Callithrix jacchus: one gene and its partners. Each later gene encodes a partner of the first gene's protein in a complex. Links are inferred from orthologs where the notes say so. Each region holds a gene or a part of one and is shown in the gene's direction. Other genes may lie near its edges.

Evidence for each region.
Region 2: NSMCE3 (region 1) and SMC5 share a complex: the UniProt entries of both Homo sapiens proteins name them as parts of the SMC5-SMC6 complex. The link is inferred for Callithrix jacchus from reciprocal best matches to the Homo sapiens genes NSMCE3 and SMC5.
Region 3: NSMCE3 (region 1) and NSMCE2 share a complex: the UniProt entries of both Homo sapiens proteins name them as parts of the SMC5-SMC6 complex. The link is inferred for Callithrix jacchus from reciprocal best matches to the Homo sapiens genes NSMCE3 and NSMCE2.
Region 4: the proteins of NSMCE3 (region 1) and NSMCE1 are in contact, whole or in part, in a crystal structure (PDB 7DG2), measured with the Xenopus laevis proteins. The link is inferred for Callithrix jacchus from reciprocal best matches to the Homo sapiens genes NSMCE3 and NSMCE1. Residues at the interface, in XP_018121157.1 of Xenopus laevis: Gly57, Glu58, Val60, Gln61, Tyr62, Leu64, Ile65, Lys66, Gln68, Lys69, Val82, Thr100, Gln102, Gln103, Val104, Phe105, Gly106, Phe107, Asn123, Leu125, Gln126, Arg127, Val128, Gly130, Asp131, Gly132, Met133, Arg134, Asp136, Glu137; in NP_001083134.1 of Xenopus laevis: Ile5, Glu7, Gln10, Arg11, Leu13, Gln14, Ala15, Met17, Ser18, His19, Leu30, His33, Leu37, His38, Leu54, His57, Leu58, Pro60, Leu61, Phe62, Met63, Val84, Asn86, Ile88, Thr89, Met91, Ala92, Ser93, Asp94, Gln149.
Region 5: NSMCE3 (region 1) and NSMCE4A share a complex: the UniProt entries of both Homo sapiens proteins name them as parts of the SMC5-SMC6 complex. The link is inferred for Callithrix jacchus from reciprocal best matches to the Homo sapiens genes NSMCE3 and NSMCE4A.

Annotation. Positions count from the first base shown.
Region 1 is NC_133507.1:7,526,161-7,529,848, reverse strand, and holds NSMCE3 (non-structural maintenance of chromosomes element 3 homolog), read left to right. Parts: upstream 1-1,466; 5' UTR 1,467-1,558; coding exon 1,559-2,446; 3' UTR 2,447-3,093; downstream 3,094-3,688. UniProt on the Homo sapiens protein: Component of the SMC5-SMC6 complex, a complex involved in repair of DNA double-strand breaks by homologous recombination. The complex may promote sister chromatid homologous recombination by recruiting the SMC1-SMC3 cohesin complex to double-strand breaks.
Region 2 is NC_133502.1:94,535,160-94,537,994, reverse strand, and holds part of SMC5 (structural maintenance of chromosomes protein 5), read left to right. Parts: intron 1-679; coding exon of another isoform or gene 680-736; exon of another isoform or gene 737-1,696; intron 1,697-1,808; coding exon 1,809-1,952; 3' UTR 1,953-2,835. UniProt on the Homo sapiens protein: Core component of the SMC5-SMC6 complex, a complex involved in repair of DNA double-strand breaks by homologous recombination.
Region 3 is NC_133517.1:72,007,628-72,010,885, reverse strand, and holds the end of NSMCE2 (E3 SUMO-protein ligase NSE2), read left to right. Parts: intron 1-429; coding exon 430-547; 3' UTR 548-2,655; downstream 2,656-3,258. UniProt on the Homo sapiens protein: E3 SUMO-protein ligase component of the SMC5-SMC6 complex, a complex involved in DNA double-strand break repair by homologous recombination. Is not be required for the stability of the complex.
Region 4 is NC_133513.1:27,811,986-27,815,843, reverse strand, and holds the end of NSMCE1 (non-structural maintenance of chromosomes element 1 homolog), read left to right. Parts: intron 1-1,554; coding exon 1,555-1,671; intron 1,672-2,404; exon of another isoform or gene 2,405-2,529; coding exon 2,530-2,650; exon of another isoform or gene 2,651-3,127; coding exon 3,128-3,207; 3' UTR 3,208-3,361; downstream 3,362-3,858. UniProt on the Homo sapiens protein: RING-type zinc finger-containing E3 ubiquitin ligase that assembles with melanoma antigen protein (MAGE) to catalyze the direct transfer of ubiquitin from E2 ubiquitin-conjugating enzyme to a specific substrate.
Region 5 is NC_133513.1:115,348,673-115,352,530, reverse strand, and holds part of NSMCE4A (non-structural maintenance of chromosomes element 4 homolog A), read left to right. Parts: intron 1-482; coding exon 483-582; intron 583-1,594; coding exon 1,595-1,685; coding exon of another isoform or gene 1,686-1,689; intron 1,690-2,715; coding exon of another isoform or gene 2,716-2,821; exon of another isoform or gene 2,822-3,088; intron 3,089-3,094; coding exon 3,095-3,189; intron 3,190-3,858. UniProt on the Homo sapiens protein: Component of the SMC5-SMC6 complex, a complex involved in DNA double-strand breaks by homologous recombination. The complex may promote sister chromatid homologous recombination by recruiting the SMC1-SMC3 cohesin complex to double-strand breaks.

The DNA of each region.
Region 1 (3,688 bases):
GCCTCTGTCATTAAGATTGATGCCTGAGGATGTAGTTGGATCTCGTGTGGAGCAGTAAGTTATTACTCTTTGCATACCAGATTCTAGCATACTTGCATTAGTTCATGGAATATGATTTTGCATTTAGTATTGCAGTTCCAGTGCCATTATCAGATTGCATTTTCCTACTGAATCACAAACAAAAGTGTTATGCTACTAACATTTAACAAAATTTTAATAAGGTTGTGTTTGATGCTATTATTCAGATAATGTGTTCTTTGAATATATTTGAAATTGCTTTCCTTTGAATATATTTGCATTAAAGAGGAAATCAATTTGATTTGGTTCTTTGAAGAGTTTATCCACTTTCTGGGTAGCTTTAAAAAGACAGGGAAATTCAGTTTCTTCTTTGCAAGTCAATAAATAGAGAAGAAACACATTTGCTAAGATCTGTAGAAGTACTGGCAGCAGACTGCTGATGGTTTCAGTTAATGAAATGACTCATTTTGGCTGCTTGAGTTGCACAATTAAAATACAGAGACTGCACACATCACAGATTATGAGGGATGGTACCCTAGTGTTCTCTTTTCTTTAAAGCTAATATATTACGAATTAAGAAATTTAAGAGATCCACATTATTGCAATTTTTGATGAGTCATGCCCCCAATTAAATGGTAATCTCTTGAGCGTGCACGTTTCTGTTTGCAGCATTCCTCTTGCCCATTTCTGTTAAAATTGTGGTTGTGAGCCCAAAGCAGTGGTTTTATCTTTTCGAAAAGATACACTCACTTGACAAACTACAACATTACTTAATATTGACACGTTTCGTGTTGTTTTCTCATAGTTGTCTAGCTAGAGTTTAATGCAAAATATATAAATACGGAAATAGTGAAACCGAAGTCCTGCTTGCGAGGAAAGCCTGCCGCAGACTTTGGTTTTTAACAGACTCCCCGGGGCATTAGGGAAAGTAACTGGGGGTAATAGGTTGGAGGGTATGAAATTGGGCGGAGGGACGAAAACTAAGAACCCTTGGGGCTTTTTATGTCCTCCCACATTTTGTGTAGAAATAAATGCTTTTACTTTACTTCCAAAGCCGTACCTTCCTCTTCACCTTTTTTATTTCCCCCCCCCTCACATATTGATCTTTGAGATCTTGACAAATGCTCCCGATTTACAAACGCATCATACTGTCTGTAAAACTTGCCTGAGCCTGTGTGGTCCTGAATTTAGCCACACACTTGTTTAGGGATTTTGGTTCTCGTCCTCCGCTTGCATGGTTTGGTAAGAACACTTCACTCTACTAAAAATCATCGCCCGGACCAGCAAAGGCTGCACAAAAAAAAACGCTATTTGATTTTGTACCCGCGGCAGCCGCGCAGGCGCACCGTCCAGCCGCCGCGACGCAAGGCGCAGGCTTAGTGACGCAGCGCGCAGCCTCCGCCGTCGCCGCGCGCCCCTCCTGTGGCCCCGCCCAGGGCCTGGCGTCCGCTTGTTGCGTCGACCCACATTCCCGCCGCGGCTGCTTGCGGGCCGGAGTGTTTGCCGGCTGGAGTCTGCGCCGGAGCCCGCCGCCGGTAACATGTTGCAAAAGCCGAGGAGCCGGGGCCGCTCTAGCGGCCACGCCGAGAGGGTCAGAGACTCGAGCCAAGGCGGAGACGCCCGGGCCCCCAGAGACTGCGTTGCCGAGGAGACCCCGAGCACGTCCCGCGGGTCGGGCGGCTCGCAGGGGGCGCGGAGCTCCTCGCCTCAGGGCGCCCGCGGTTCTCTGGCCGCCCCCGCCGTGGGGCCCCGGACCCAGAAGCAGCTGGAGCTGAAAGTGTCCGAGCTGGTGCAGTTCTTGCTGATTAAGGACCAGAAGAAGATTCCGATCAAGCGGGCCGACATACTGAAGCACGTCGTCGGGGACTACAAGGACATCTTCCCCGACCTCCTCAAACTGGCCGCCGAGCGCCTCCAGTACGTCTTCGGGTACAAGCTGGTGGAACTTGAACCCAAGAGCAACACTTACATCCTCATCAACACCCTGGAGCCCGTGGAGGAGGATGCCGAGGTGAGGGGCGACCAAGGCACGCCCACCACGGGCCTCCTGATGATCGTCTTGGGGCTCATCTTTATGAGGGGCAACACCATCAAGGAGACTGAAGTCTGGGACTTTCTGCGGCGGCTAGGGGTCTTTCCTACCAAGAAGCATTTGGTTTTCGGAGATCCAAAGAAACTCATCACTGAGGACTTCGTGCGACAGCGTTACCTGGAGTACCGGCGGATACCTCACACCGACCCCGTGGACTACGAATTCCAGTGGGGCCCACGAACCAACCTGGAAACCAGCAAGATGAAAGTTCTTAAGTTTGTGGCCAAAGTCCATAACCAAGACCCCAAGGACTGGCCAGCACAGTACTGTGAGGCTTTGGCGGATGAGGAGAACAGGGCCAGACCTCAGCCGAGTGGCCCAGCCCCATCCTCTTGAAATCCGAGGTGGATTCAGAGGGAATCTCGGGACAAGAGTCTGAGACCCAAAGGCACATTGTAGAGGGATGGGGGAAGGGAGAACCCAGGGAGCATATTTCTGTAACGCTTCAATGTGTGTAGCTTTAGGATGTGTTTGCACAGTTTTGTTCTTTAACGTTGTGTTATTTGGTTCCAGATTTTCATTTATAAACAAAGGAGGATTTGTTTTGTTTTGATTTTACTGTTTTTGGTATGAAAAATTTTGTTAGCTTAGTAAAACGAGTTGGAAAACTTGACTATGATCTGGAAGAGATATGCAAGAAGAAACACAGTGAGTTGCTTTGCTGCCAAGAAAATAAAAGCAAGCTAGCTATTATTGGGTCTCATAACTACCCCAGTTTGTAAGGAAAAATAAAAGGTTTTATAAAATTAAAAATAACATAATTGCCCATATCCTTATTACCTTAACCTATTTATTTTTTTTATATTTCATACATATATAAGTATTATTCATGGTTCCAAGCAATGAACATGGTATGTTTTCTCCAGATAGCAATTATTTTTATTCGTAATTATTCAGCTTGGTTGCTAAACATGTAGTTCCACTTAGTTTTTTTTCTTCTTGCTACTCTATTATAATAAATGCTGTGTTTTTGAAACAGTTAAGCATTGTGTGTTTTTAAAATCGTGTTGTTTCACTTTTGTATGTGTGTACAGGATCATGAGGTAAAATGTATTTCTCACTCTGGCTCTCAAAAAAGCTTTTAAAGCAATAGCATAACCATTAACCGTGCCTGCTTGGAAATCGGACTGCCTGGGTTCAGATCCTGGCTACACCATAACTCTGACATGAATTTACGTAGGTTCCTTGCTGTATGCAGATGTTTCCTGACCTGTAAAGTGGGTTTAGTCCCTGATGTGGAGGATTTTACTTGTCAGTTTATTCTTTAATTTGTTAATTTGGTTTTTTTTTCCTCCTTGATCTGGAGCTGCCACTTTAATTATCCTTTTCTAAATCATTCCTATGGGAACAATTACTGGTTCAAAAGGTGTATTCCTCTAGTCTGACTCTATTATATGTATAGTTTTATGGGGAAATATAATGTGTGTGGTGAGTATAACCCACATTCAACAGTGGGAGCACGAGGGTGAGATATAAGATCTACCCCTTAGGGTATAGGAAATAGCTATAGGGAAAAGGATATGGGTCTTGGAGCTGTCTGGCAAACTGAATTTGAATTATGGCTCATGCTAACTTGTC
Region 2 (2,835 bases), on another chromosome or scaffold:
CGGGACAATCACTTGAACCAGGGAGGCGGAGGTTGCAGTGAGCCAAGATCGCACCACTGCACTCCAGCCTGGCGACAGAGCAAGTCGTCTCAAAAAAAAAAAAAAAAAAAAAAGTGGTCATATACTTAGAAATCCCCTGTGGCTTAATCATATAGTTTTTGGCCCACTATGTACATATTAGCAGGAATACTTCCCAAAAAGGAATTTAAAAGGTAACAAAAGGGGTAAGTTCCAGTGTCCTACTTAATCAGAGGAAGAAACATAGGAGTCATATCATTATGTTCTGGAATTGAGATTTTTCTCATTCCTTTTCTGGAAAAGGCACTCTTTCAGCACTAAAAGATGACTGGGAAATGCAACCCCTAAAACTCTGGCTTTTCATTTTCCTAAAAAAAAAGCCTCTCTTGTCATGTACTACCCTTCCTCTTCATTTGTCACTACCACTGTGCTGGCCTACGGGAAATTTAAGTATCCCAACATCTACTCACAGGTTAAACTTTGATAAAAACAGAATTATCTTTATAGAGAATTTTCCATAATCTACAACCATTGCAATGGGAAATTTTCTTTTGTTAAATCTAGCGTTATGGGTAAATTACAAAGTGTATATATTCAAAATGTGTTTATTAATGTAATCAGATTTTTTATTTTTTAATTAAGTACTTATGAAAAATTTTAGCCAGGTGCAGTGGCTCACACCTGTAATCCTGGTACTTTGGGAGGCCAAGGCAAGTAGATCGCTTGAGCCCAGGAGTTTGAGACCAGCCTGAGAAACATGGCAAAACCCCATCTCTACAAACAAAAAATGCAAAAATTAGCTGGGTTTGGCAGCATGCATCTATAGTCCCAGCTACTCGGGAGGCTGAGATAGGAGGATCACTTGAGACCAGGAGGGGGAGGTTTCAGTGAGCCAAGATCACACCACTGCACTACAGCCTGGGTGACAGAATGATACTTTGTCTTTAAAAAAACAAAAAATTGCTTTTGCCCATCCTGCATTCAAATTTTTATTAAATAGTGTCATCTGTCTAATTTTTTCAGTAGATATTCTTGTGGAATAGTCAGATCTGTTAATACCCTACTGCTTGCCAAATACCTTAGCCTATAAACGTCTCTGTTACACATTTTTCAGGATAGTACGCTGTCAAACAAGTTGCTTGAGAAGTGTTTGTCAACAAAAAGTGAAAGTATCTATCTTAGGAAAATTATGGAGGACATACTCTTTTCCAAGGTCTCCCTGGGAAGTTGAATAATCCCAGTTATCCTGTGAATCTAGAGGGCTCAATTATTCCTTATTTCGATTATTCCTTAGGCCAGGTATACTAATGTAGGTAAGGATTACAGTCCATCAAGGTTTATATTGAGGTGGGGTCCGTAAGAGTCTTACTGGCTGGGCATAATGGCTCACACCTGTAATCCCAGCACTTTGGGAGGCTGAGGTAGGCAGAGCACCTGAGGTCGGCAGATCACCTGAGGTCAGGACTTCAAGACCAGCCTGGCCAATAGGATGAAAATGCCATCTCTTCTAAAACTACAAAAAAATTATCTGGGCCTGGTAGCACGTGCCTGTAATCCCAGCTGCTGTGGAGGCTGGCTGGGACACGAGAATCTCGAACCTGGGAAGTGGAGGTTGCAGCCAGCCAAGATCACACTACTGCACTCCATCCTGGGCAACAGAGTGAAAAAAAAAAAAAAAGTTTTATTAATATTACAAATAAAACAATACATTTGACTATACACATATAAGGTTGGAAACTTTTTCTCATTATAGAGCTTATGTGACAGTTTGTCTGTTTTAATACTGACAGCTCCTGCAAAATCTTCCTTATTCTGAAAAGATGACAGTATTGTTTGTCTACAATGGCCCTCATATGCTGGAACCAAACAGATGGAATTTAAAGGCTTTCCAAAGACGGCGGCGCCGTATTACATTCACTCAACCTTCTCAATAAAAGTAAAGAGGAGACTTGGGAATTTTTCTATTAAATTCTGTTTATAAGTGTGGCTCAACTGAATAAAAGTTAGGAGATTGATTAAAACAAAAGCAGTTATTTTTGGAAACCTGCCTTTTTTTTTTTTTTTTTGAGACGGAGTTTTGCTGTTGTTACCCATACTGGAGTGCAATGGCACGATCTCGGCTCACCGCAACCTCCGCCTTCTGGGTTCAGGCAATTCTCCTGCCTCAGCCTCCCGAGTAGCTGGGACTACAGGCGTGTACCACCATGCCCAGATAATTTTTGTATTTTTAGTAGAGACGGGGTTTTACCTCATTGACCAGGATGGTCTCGATCTGTTGACCTCGTGATCCACCCGCCTCGGCCTCCCAAAGTGCTGGGATTATAGGCGTGAGCCACCACGCCCAGCCGGAAACCTGCTTTTAAATACAAATACGTTGATAATGGAAACCATAATGACCTTTCTAAAACATCATCTGGTTGTAAAAGTTAAGTCTTCTTCAATCTTGGTTGAACTTGGGTCCTTAGCAACTCTGACCATGAGTCATAGAGTTCTCATGTTAAAAGGTACTTATTACGAATCAAGGGTACAGTGGAAGAGGGTTTAATCAATCACAAGAAGTTTACTTATATGGTATCCCTGAGCTTTAATTGCAGAGTAACTTTAATTACTTTTAGAGCCTAAAGATGACTCTAGAGCCTAAGCTCTAGTTTCTCCCAGTGTTATATTTAATTTTTAAAAATTGATATGAAAATGTCTAATGTATAGTAATAATTTATGACAGATCTATTCATTTCTTCCTATTAAAAAGATTACCTTATCTCCAGTAGGAAATGGAGTTTTATGGGCCTTTAAAAGAAACTTTTATGAAACTTGATG
Region 3 (3,258 bases), on another chromosome or scaffold:
TATAGTGAAACCCTGTCTCTACTAAAGATACAAAAATTAGCCGGAGTCCCAGCTACTCAGGAGGCTGAGGCACAAGAATTGCTTGAACCTGAGAGGTGGAGGTTGCAGTGAGCCAAGATCAAGCCACTGCACTCCAGCCTGGCGACGGAGTGAGACTCATTCTCAAAAAAAAAAAAAAAGAAAGAAAGAAATTTAGCTCCATGATGGTGTAGGCACTACTCACATGTTGGTATTGCTTGTGTCCCCAGCACCTGGACAGGGCCTGGTTCAGGGAGGGGCTCAGTGAATAAATGAATGAGCACACTTTGGTCCTGATTTTTAATGCTTTTCCTTTTCTGGTAAAATGCCTCACTTAAATACTTGAGTATAAAAGAAGTTTCTGCTTAAGACAGTAAAGGGGACTGACTTGACGTTCTTTCTCCCTCACAGTTGCCCTAAAATTGGCTGTAGCCACACGGATATGAGAATGTCGGATCTCGTCCAGGATGAAGCACTTAGAAGGGCGATTGAGAACCATAACAAGAAAAGACATCGTCATTCCGAATAGGAAAAGCCACCTGCCCGCAAGGCATCCGCAGCCTACCTCCTACCCCAGCCGTCTGTTGAGAGCAGTGCTGAACCCGGCGGTTAGGGACTGGCTGCAGAGCATACTTGTTTGGGGTAAAACAAGTGTGCTTGAAAACATTTTTCTAAGTTACACAACAGAAATGCAAGCATATTGTTTATTTTTAAGTGTTCTATAATGTTGAATAAAACTTTGATCATCTGCGGTGTCCTGCCTGCACACCTCCTAATATATGGATTATTCCAGAGGCGCAGGCATTGCCATTTCGAGGACATCAGACTGATTTTTATAATAGTTTTGACTAAAGAATGGCTTTCAGGTGGCTCATACCTTTAATCCCAGTACTTTGGGAAGCCAAGGTGGCCAGATCACTTGAGGTCAGGAGTTCAAGACCAGCCTGGGCAACATAGTGAAACTCCATCTCTACCAAAAATACAAAAATCAGCCACGTGGGGTGGTGCACACCTGTAATCCTAGCTACTCGGGAGTCTAAGGCAGGCGAATCAGTTGAATCCAGGAAGTAGAGGTTACAGTGAGCTGAGATCGCACCACTGCACTCCAGCCTGGGAGACAGAGCAAGACTCTATCTTAAAAAAAAAAAAAAAGGTATGTCTTTCAAGTGATATTTGAAATTAAAACATATAGAAATACCCCCACTCACGTATAGTAAATAATGCCATTGAGTTATAAAGCAAAGCCAGTTTGCTTTCCTGTATTTACATTGTATATTGACAGTTCCAAACATAAATGCTTTTAGTGTCATTCTGAATGGAATAGAATGCTCCAGTAGACTGGCTTATCAGTGCATTGCAGTGATGATGGATGTCTATAGTGGAACTCTGCTGCAGCCCTCCAAGAGCCTAAACTGCCATCAACAGGAACTACATTCCAGCTGCTCTCTATTTTTCTGGATGGCTGGCTGCAAGTGACCCTGGGCGCTGGTGTCTTCAGCCATGAAATGAAGGTGTTTAGCAAGATGCTCTCTAACGTCCTATGACCCCTGAGAGTCTGTGGATTTACACCAGCAGGATCTTTAAGTTGAATGTCTTCAATTACATTCTAATTGTGTGATGAGCACCAATCTATTGCCTCCATTAGCAACCTTTTATCAAGCTTACTATTTAATTAAACCAAATGAAACATACCCTGGTGACACTGGAAAACCAAGAATAGCCAATAATAGCTAACATTTATTGAGTACTTACTGTATACCAGGTGCTATTCCAAGTGCTTTACATATATATTAACTCCTATAATCTTCATAGCCTATCGAGAGAGGTACAGTTCTTACAGATAAGGAAAACTAGGCACAGAGAAGCAAAGCCACCCATGGAAAGTCATAGAGCTAGGAGATGGCTGAACTGGGAGCAGAATCTGGAGATCCCAGTCCTAAAATCTCCACTTTTAATTCCATACTCTACTCCTCTCTATTGACTTTATTTAGAAACTGAAAATATATTCAAAGCCCACATTTAGAAACCAACGCTTTTGTAAATAAACAATGCGTGTGTGTGTGTGTGTGTGTCCATGTACAAAAAAAAGTCTAATTAAAATGGAGGCCTAGGCGGGAGGATCACTTAAGCCCAGGAGTTTGAGACCATAAAACTTTTAATAGAGATGGCAAGTCCCCATCTCTATTAAAAAAGAGGCAGGTCGAGGTGGCTCATTCCTGTAATCCCAGCACTTTGGGAGGCCTGCCTCGGCTGATGACCCCCCCACCTCACACAGCCCCCGCAACCCGTGTTTGCCATTATCCCTGATTGCCCTGTGGAGCTTCCCCCTCCACCCACATAAGCTTCCCCTCACCCCACCCTGCCATCTTAACGGTTATTATGATAATGTGACTACTCCTCACCCCACCCTGCTATCTTAACTACTCTTATCCCACCCACCATTGCAACTGAACTTATGGTAATGTTATACTCCTTGCCTGGACCCCCCACCACTGTAACTGATCTTACTCTGTAACTTTCCACTGCCCACCCCAAACCTATAAAACCAACTCCTGTCCCACTGCCCTTTGCTAATGTCCTTTTCGGCCTTAGCCCACCAGCACCCAGGTGAATAAACAGCCATGTTGCTCACACAAAGCCTGTTTGGGGGGGGTCTCTTCATTCAAAGCATGCGTTTTTAATAATTATCAGGTCAGGAGTTTGAGACCAGCCTGGTACAAAAATTAGCCGGGCAAGGTGGCGCATGCCTGTAATCTCAGCTACTCGGGAGGCTGAGGCAGGAGAATCACTTGAACCTGGGAGGCGGAGGTTGCAGTGAGCCAAGATCATACCACTGCACTCCAGCCTGGACAACAGAGCAGACTCTGTCTCAAAAAAAATAAAAAGAAAAAAAGAAAGAAAAGAAAAAAGACCACGTGCAGTGGCTCACATCTGTAATTTCAGCATTTTGGGAGGCCACGGTGGGCAGATCATCTGAGGTCAGGAGTTCAAGACCAGCTTGGCCAACATGGAGAAACCCTGTCTTAACTAAAAATATACAACTTAGCCAGGTACAGTGGCTCACACCTGTAATCCCAGCACTTTGGGTAGCCAAGACGGGCAGATCATGAGGTCATAAGTTCGAGACAGCCTGGCCAACATGGTGTAACCCATCTCTACTAAAAATATGAAAATTAACCTTGGTGTGATCCTGTAATCCCAGCTACTCAGGAGGCTGAGGTATGAGAATTGCTTGAACCT
Region 4 (3,858 bases), on another chromosome or scaffold:
TGGCCAGAGGGGCTGGTGTGCTCAGGAAGCTGAGGCCAGGGCCATTGGAGCACAGAGATTGCTGGGGCAAGTGGATGAGGGGAGCCCAGGGGATAGGCGCATCAGGGACTTGGCTCTTGGACCTAAGGGTGGTAAGAAGCCCTGGGGGGTGAGTGGGATGGGGGGTGGTAGTGAGGTGAGAGTGACAGGGCCAGGCTTGTTTTGTAGCGAGCTCGTTGCTGGAGGAGAGTGGGCTCAGAGAGCAGCAGGAGCAGGGGAGGGTGGAAGAGGGCGGTGGCCGGGAAGATGGAGTGCCATGATGGATCTGGGAGCTTTGGGGAAGGTAACAGCCATAGGTCCGAGGACCGAGGACGGCCTGGGGGCTGGTCACATCCTCCCGTGCCCACAGCACTTGAAGGGCAGAAAGCCCCTGTGCACTAGCAACTGCCATGGTGTAGGGCACATGTGCCTGGTGCCCAGGCCTCCCTCCACTGCTCCTGCAATGCACACCCCAACCTCTGCCCTGTCTCCCTTCCTGTGCTCACCAGACCCCTTCACCGGTGTACCAGAGTGAACGCACTGTGAGCCCAGGTTACGCAAGCACACCCCCTCCACGCTGCACTGTGGGGATGGAGGCAGGAATGGGGTGGGGGGCTCTACCTGTCAGGAACGGGAGTGACAGCTCTTGCTTGTAAAAATTAGAAAATAACAGAAAAGGCGGTTGAGCACTCAGGTGACTCACAGGCATCAGTGACGCCATCTCCTGGTGCAGTTGATGTCCAATGTATGAGCTGACTGTGGAGAAGCTGGAATCAGCCTGCATAGGTCCGTGTCCTGGGTCCCAGGTCATTTGCCTCCCTTGGGCCTTCCTCCATGCTGTCTCTTTCCTGTGACCTGGCAGTAGGGTCAGCCTGGGGAGCTGCATTACTCATGCACTTCCTTGCTCTCCCAGGGTTTTCAGGATGCATGATGGGTGGCCCGCCCCTGTGTGGAAACCAGGAGGCCTGGCTTCCACTGGAGGCTCCACTCCCCACAGTGTGATGGGACCCGTCTGCCCTCTCCAGACTCCTTCCAGCTCCATCTGTAAAGTGATGTGGCTGGAAGTGATATCTGAGGGTCCCTGCTGCAGCTGGAGGCAGAAGTGCTGGGAGGCACTGGGGATGCTGCTCTTTGGGAGTGGGGTGGGTGGCTGATGGAAGCGGTGCGTGCTCAGGTTCGCACCCTGGGGAGACTGACCCCAGGGCCTCAGTGTCCTCACCTGCAGGAGGGCTGTGGCTGTCTTGCCCGTGGCTGCTGTGCAGACGGAGCAGTCAGGTGTGAAGGCACAGCAGGTGCTGAGAAAAGGTGGGTATAGGGGAACCTCGTCTCTATGCCTTTTGGGTCTTTGCCACAGTTTCCCTTGCTGAGGCTCTGCCAGGGGGATGTGGCTGATGCCTGTTGGCTGGAGTTGGGGAAAAGCTGCCTCGACCCTTGCATCTTCCTGGGCTCTGGGCTGTGGGATAGCAGAGGGAACAGAAGTTGGTGAGTGGGGAGAGGGCCTGGCTGAGGGTGGCTGCCTCCCATGTGTCCCTGCAGAAGGAAGGGGAGTTCACCCTGCACGGCCGGGCCATCCTGGAGATGGAGCAGTACATCCGGGAGACGTACCCTGACTCAGTGAAGATCTGCAATATCTGCCACAGCCTCCTCATCCAGGTACCCATGGGGCAGGCCATCAGCTCCCGGGTCTGCACACATACTTCCTGGCTCTGAGCCCAACCCTCCCTCATTCCCAGGCTTCCTCCTAGGAGATCTGGCCAAGACCATCTCCCAGGACGTGTCAGAGGCTGCCTCCCCACTGCGGCTCGCAGGGACGCGCTGCCTCCCCTCCTCCTGGCTCTGCTGTTGGAGTCCGTGGGCTCTCGCTTATTTTATTCTCAGGAAGGCTCTTCTGAGTCTTCCGTGCAGGCTGCATTGTCTTGGCAGTTGTGTGTGAGCATCTGTATTGATGCTGCTTTCCTGAGTAGTCTGTTTCACGCCGATGTTTTGCAGGGCTTTGCGGCCACTGAACCAGCGTGGACGTCGATGTGTCCTTTCAGTTTCTGTCGTTTCGCAGTTGTATTTTGTAACTGCAGTTGTACATAGCCCTTATACACCTGTATCCTTGGGCACCTGGTGATTATTTCCTTGGGTGGAGTTTCTGGGACAAAGTGCACTTTTTTTTTTAAAGCTTTTGATCCATGTTAGCAAATAACCTTCTGAAAAGCTGTGGCTGTCCACACGCCTCCTATAGGATCTGATCTGAGTGCAGGAGCTGGCGAGCCCCTTGGCTTCTGTCTCTGCATTCCTGTATACAGAATTGTTTAGTAAAACCGACTGCAACAAACAAGCAAACAAACCAAAGACTCCACTGCACTAAGGCGTTGGGATTATTTTCAGTATTTATTAATCTGGGGCCCGGAAGGTAACACGATGCCTGCTGCCTGCTGACTATTCTCCTTGCAGCTTCCCTGGAGCTTTGCGGAACACGGAGGTGTGCATGAGCTCCACAGGCACTGGCCTTTCTTGTTTCAGGGTCAAAGCTGCGAGACCTGCGGGATCAGGATGCACTTACCCTGCGTGGCCAAGTACTTCCGGTCGAATGCCGAACCGCGCTGCCCTCACTGCAACGACTACTGGCCCCATGAGATCCCAGGTGCCTGGGCCGGAGGCGCTTGTGGGAGGGCTGGGTCAGCAGGACACAGGCCTGGCACGGGGGAAGCCCTTGGAGACGGCCCCCGACGCGCTCCATGGTGTGTGGGGGTCCGTGTTAGCAGCTTGAGTCCTAGAAGCAGCCACTGCAGAAGTGAAGGTGGAGCTGCCTACACCGTTCCAGAGGGCTTTCTGGAACCCAGTAGAAATTCCTACGCACAGGAGCACTTGCATAGACAAGGCTCTCTCTGGTGGCCCTCTTAGGGGGTGCGAAAGCATGTCCACAGCTCCCTCAGTTTGTTCCTCTGTGGACTGGGGCTCACTCTGCCTTCCTCCTGGGCTGGGAAGGCTTAGCAGTGGGAATGGTGTAGGCCTAGGACAGAGTCCTTGGCACAAGAGATGTCGCTGCTGGCTTGAGCTGGTGCCCCTGTGTCGCCAGCCCCTCCGTTCACTGTGTCTTCCCTGCCTTTTCTGTGTACAGAAGTCTTCGACCCTGAGAAGGAGAGGGAGCCTGGTATCTCGAAATCGAACAGAAAGTCCCTGCGGTCCAGGCGGCATTAGCCGTGGTGCCCTGCCGAGGGGCTGGCCACCTGGGGGGCCTGAACGTCACAGCCCTTCTGGGAAGAGAGGCATCTGTGTTGCAGGTTCCACACGAGTCACCTCTTTGTTCTTAACTTCCCATCCGCAGCTTTGGAATAAACCGTCCTGCAAAGTTGCTCAGCCCCGCCTGTGGTCTCGAGCCTGTGTGTGAGGCTCCATGTCATGGCCTTGCCTTCTTTCCTGGAGTTCAGTCGTCACTCAGATCCCCCTGGGTTTGGGCTCCAGCAGGTGAAGCCACCGGAACCCCCAGCGGTGGCCCAGGGGAGCTCACTGTCATTGCTCAGAACAGCCTTGCCTCCAGTCCCAGCTGTGGCCAGCTGTCCCAGCAGGACTGGGCTGGCCCGAGCCTGGATATATGAGCCTTGGCCTCCTCAGTTCCCCACAATCTGGATTCCCCTGGCCCAAGGTGCCGCTGGTCTGAATGGGCTGAGGCCGGGTGTCTGGGCAGGATGCGTGCTCTCCCTCCCTGGGCTCTCTGCTCCCCTTCGGTGCCCAGCAGCCCTGCCATCCAGCTGCCCCAGCCGGGACTGGGAGCCGGCCTCCATGCTTCCTCTCCCTGACCCTTCTGCATCCCACTGTCACCAGATCCTGTCCAGCTCAGCTGCCAGCAGC
Region 5 (3,858 bases), on another chromosome or scaffold:
ACTGATTGATTGAGGGATACTGCTCCTTGTTATGTTGAAATGGACCTATATGCATAATGTATCTGTCCATCTACATCATATCCATTCATCTCAAGTGGGACCACATGAGCCTGTATTCTTGGGGCTTTCGCCTCCACACGATACATCTGTTCCTGTAGCCCAAGTCTGTATTAGGGCTTTTAGGTTAGGTGGGAAGACATCACAGGCACATTGACTGGCTTACTGTGCAGGGCAATATGAAGGTGTCTGAGGAGGTATCTGTGGTTGAGTAAAGCTCCTAGGAGTTTTGTAGAAATACAAATAAGTCAGAAAGGATGTCATAAACCTTACCAAGAGTCTTGGTCTGATGTCAGCTTATATATATATATATATCACTGATGCCTGGTCTGAATTTGACTATACCATGCAAACTAGTTGTAATTAGTGAAATTAGTTTGTTAAACAACAGGCAAAAAAAGGCATGAAAGCATATTTTTCATTAGGTTGGGTTCAATATATGGAGAGTTCCCTGCGCCAAAGCCACGAGTTGATCGTCCAAGAAGAGTTCCTGCAGTCCGAGAGGAGAGGGCAATGCCCGCCCAGGTTTGTTTGTTTTAAAATGTTGCTTTTTAAAAAAACACCTAGAAGTTAAAATAGCTGTTAAAATAATGTGCATGCAAGTTGGCCATTTTTTCTAAGCTTTTGGGTCTGGAGCCAGGTTTTGTCACTTAAATGTTTATCATTTTATTTAAGCCATTAAGCATTTTATTGGATTGGTTGCTTGTCTTTGTTTAAACTAATTTCTGTAGTTTTCATCAGTTCTAAGCCAGGGTTTCTCTCCCTCAGCGCCGTCAATATTTAGGGCTGGATAATTCTTGGTTTTGGGAGCTGTCGTGTGCATTATAGGGTGTTTAGCAGCACCCCTGGCCTCTACCTACTGTATGTCAGTAGCCCACCCCCACCCCCCAATTATGACAACCAAAAATGTCTACATATGACAACTCATGTCCCCTGGGGACAGGGGGAAAGTCACGCCCACTTGAGAACTACTGTTTCTAAACTGCCCTTTTGTATTTTGCTATTTTATGTTCAACCTGAAAATAGTTGATTTTGTAATGTTACTCTTCTATTAGTAACTTGAAACTAGAAAGTCTGTATTTTTTTAAATGATATATGTTAAGATGGGGATATAAACTGCTAGCAATCCCCAGCAGAAGACATTTAGACTGGGCACAGTGGCTCATGCCTGTAATCCAGGTGCTTTGGGGAGGCTGAGGCAGGAGGATCACTTGAGACCAGAAGTTTGAGACCAGCCTGAGCAACATAGCAAGACCCCATATCTAATTAGACAAAGTAGCATGAATTAAAAAAAAAAATAGCCAGGTGTAGTGGTGCACACTTCTAGCTGCTACTCAGGAAGCTGAGTTGGTAGGATCGTTTGAGCACAGGAGTCTGAGGTGACAGTGAGCTGAGATTGTGCCACTGAACTCTAGCCTGGGTGGCAAAGCAGAAACCCTGTCTCAATTTAAAAGTGTGGGTGTGCAAGAGAGAAGAAAAGGTTGTTAATAGGCCAGTAAGTCAGCCGTCAGCTTGATAATCACTTTAATTTTTTCAGTTAAGCAGAATGGAAGAATCTCACCAAGAAGCAACAGAGAAAGAAGTAGAAAGAATCTTGGGATTATTGCAGACATATTTTCGAGAAGATCGTAAGTGTAACACCAAATTCAAAGTGGATTTATCTGTCCAATGAGGATACTTGTGTTGAAAAGGCAATTTCAGCTGTATGTAATGTTTGAAGCATTTTGATAACTTCTTGGCATATACATTTAATGAGGATTCTTCTCTCCTTTTGAAATTTCATGTGAGAACTTCAAAGTTAACTTTTTATTTTTATCTTTAAAAGATGGGGATTTTTTTGTTACAAAATGAAATATGCCATTCAAGTAAGAAGTGTCAAAAGTACCTATTCCACCTCATTATAAAATGCAGGGTCTATATTTTCAAATTATTTTGTTTATCAGTCCTATCTACCTAAATAGTTTTTGTTTTTCTTTTTTTCCAAGCTAATCATAATATGAACATTCTCCTGTGAAGTGACTTTTCCATGTGGACATTCTTCCATATTATTACATACAGATCTCCCTTATTTTGCTCACTGATTCCCACTATATGGCTGTACTATAAATATATTTAACAGATCCTCCATTAATGGATAATTAATTTTTTTTTTTTTTTGAGACAGAGTCTCACTCTGTTGCCCAGGCTGGAGCACTGTGGCACCATCTCGGCTCACTGCAGCCTTCACTTCCCAGGTTCAAGCGATTCTTCTGCCTTAGCCCCCGGAGTAGCTGGGATTACAGGCACACGCCACCACGTCTGGCTAATTTTTTTGTGTGTGTATTTTTAGTAGAGACGGGGTTTCGCCATGTTGGCCAAGCTGGTCTCAAACTCCTGACCTCAGGTGATCTGTTAGCATCAACCTTCCAAAGTGCTGGGATTTTAGGCGTGAGCACCATACCCAGTTGGATGATTAAGTTCTTTATAGCATTTTACTCTTCTGTGAATTGCTGAAGTAAAAGATCTTAGTATGTAATTTTGTGCACTTATGCTTGTATTTCTGCAGGACAGCCTTTTAGAGGTGGCTTCCAGGTAAGTGGGCATACATGATTTTAGAAGAGATGCCATACTGACCCCCAGAAGGATTGGACTGATATACATTCTTTTTTTTTTTTTGAGACAGAGTCTCACTCTGTCGCCCAGGCTGAAGTGCAGTGGCACAATCTTGGCTAACCGCAGCCTCCACCTCCTGGGTTCAGGCAATTCTCCTGCCTCAGCCTCCTGAGTAGCTAGGATTACAGGCACGTGCCACCACGCCCAGCTAATTTTTGTATTTTTAGTAGAGACAGGGTTTCACCATGTTGGTCAGGCTGGTCTTGAACTCCTTGGCCTCCCAAAATGCTGAGATTACAGGCATGAGCCACGGTGCCCAGCCTGGATTGATAGACATTCTTGCATCAGGATGAGTACTCGTCTTTTCTTTGTCTGTCTGGCTAATGCTAGAGAGTACTGATATTATTGATTAGCAGAAATTAATTTTTTTTCTTTTTGTCTGTAGCTGATACCCCAATTTCCTTCTTTGACTTTGTGGTTGATCCACATTCTTTCCCCCGGACAGTGGAAAACATCTTTCATGTTTCCTTCATTATACGGGTAAGATTAAAGATTATTTTTTGATTGCTTTTATATGCTTTTAAAAGGATACAGAAGAAAAGCTGTAGAAGGGAGCTGGCAAAGGTATCTGTGTACACTGGCCAGTGTATGTTTCAGACCCATTGTAGCAAAATATTAATCTTGGCATATTAGGTAGAAGAAACTACCTAAAATTTTATGTGCTTGCTTTTATGTTTTAGACATTATTTAGAGAAAGAATTGGAAAAATTTGAATGCAATTGTAGATTAGATGACAGAATGGTAAAACTGTTAAATTTCCTGATTTTGATAACTGTCATATTGTATAAGAGAATATCCTTCTTCTCAAGAAATAGTCACTGAAAGATTAGGGAAAAGGAGCAGGCCACCTATCATTCTCACTTCATTCTTCAATAATAATATGTAGAGTGATAAAGTAAATGTGGTAACTGACACTTTAACGACTGATGAATATGGGTAAAGGCCATATGGCACATGTTTATGGTAGTCTTATAACCCTTTAAGTCTGAAATTATTTCAAAATTGGTTTAAAAAAAACTCTACTTAGAAATGTACCATGGAAATTTGCTTTAGACTGTCTTTAATCTTACTTCAGGTTGCATTCCCACATATAAGATGAATTTGATATTAACCTCAGAGAAAAGCTTGTGTCAACCGAAGTATTTTCTC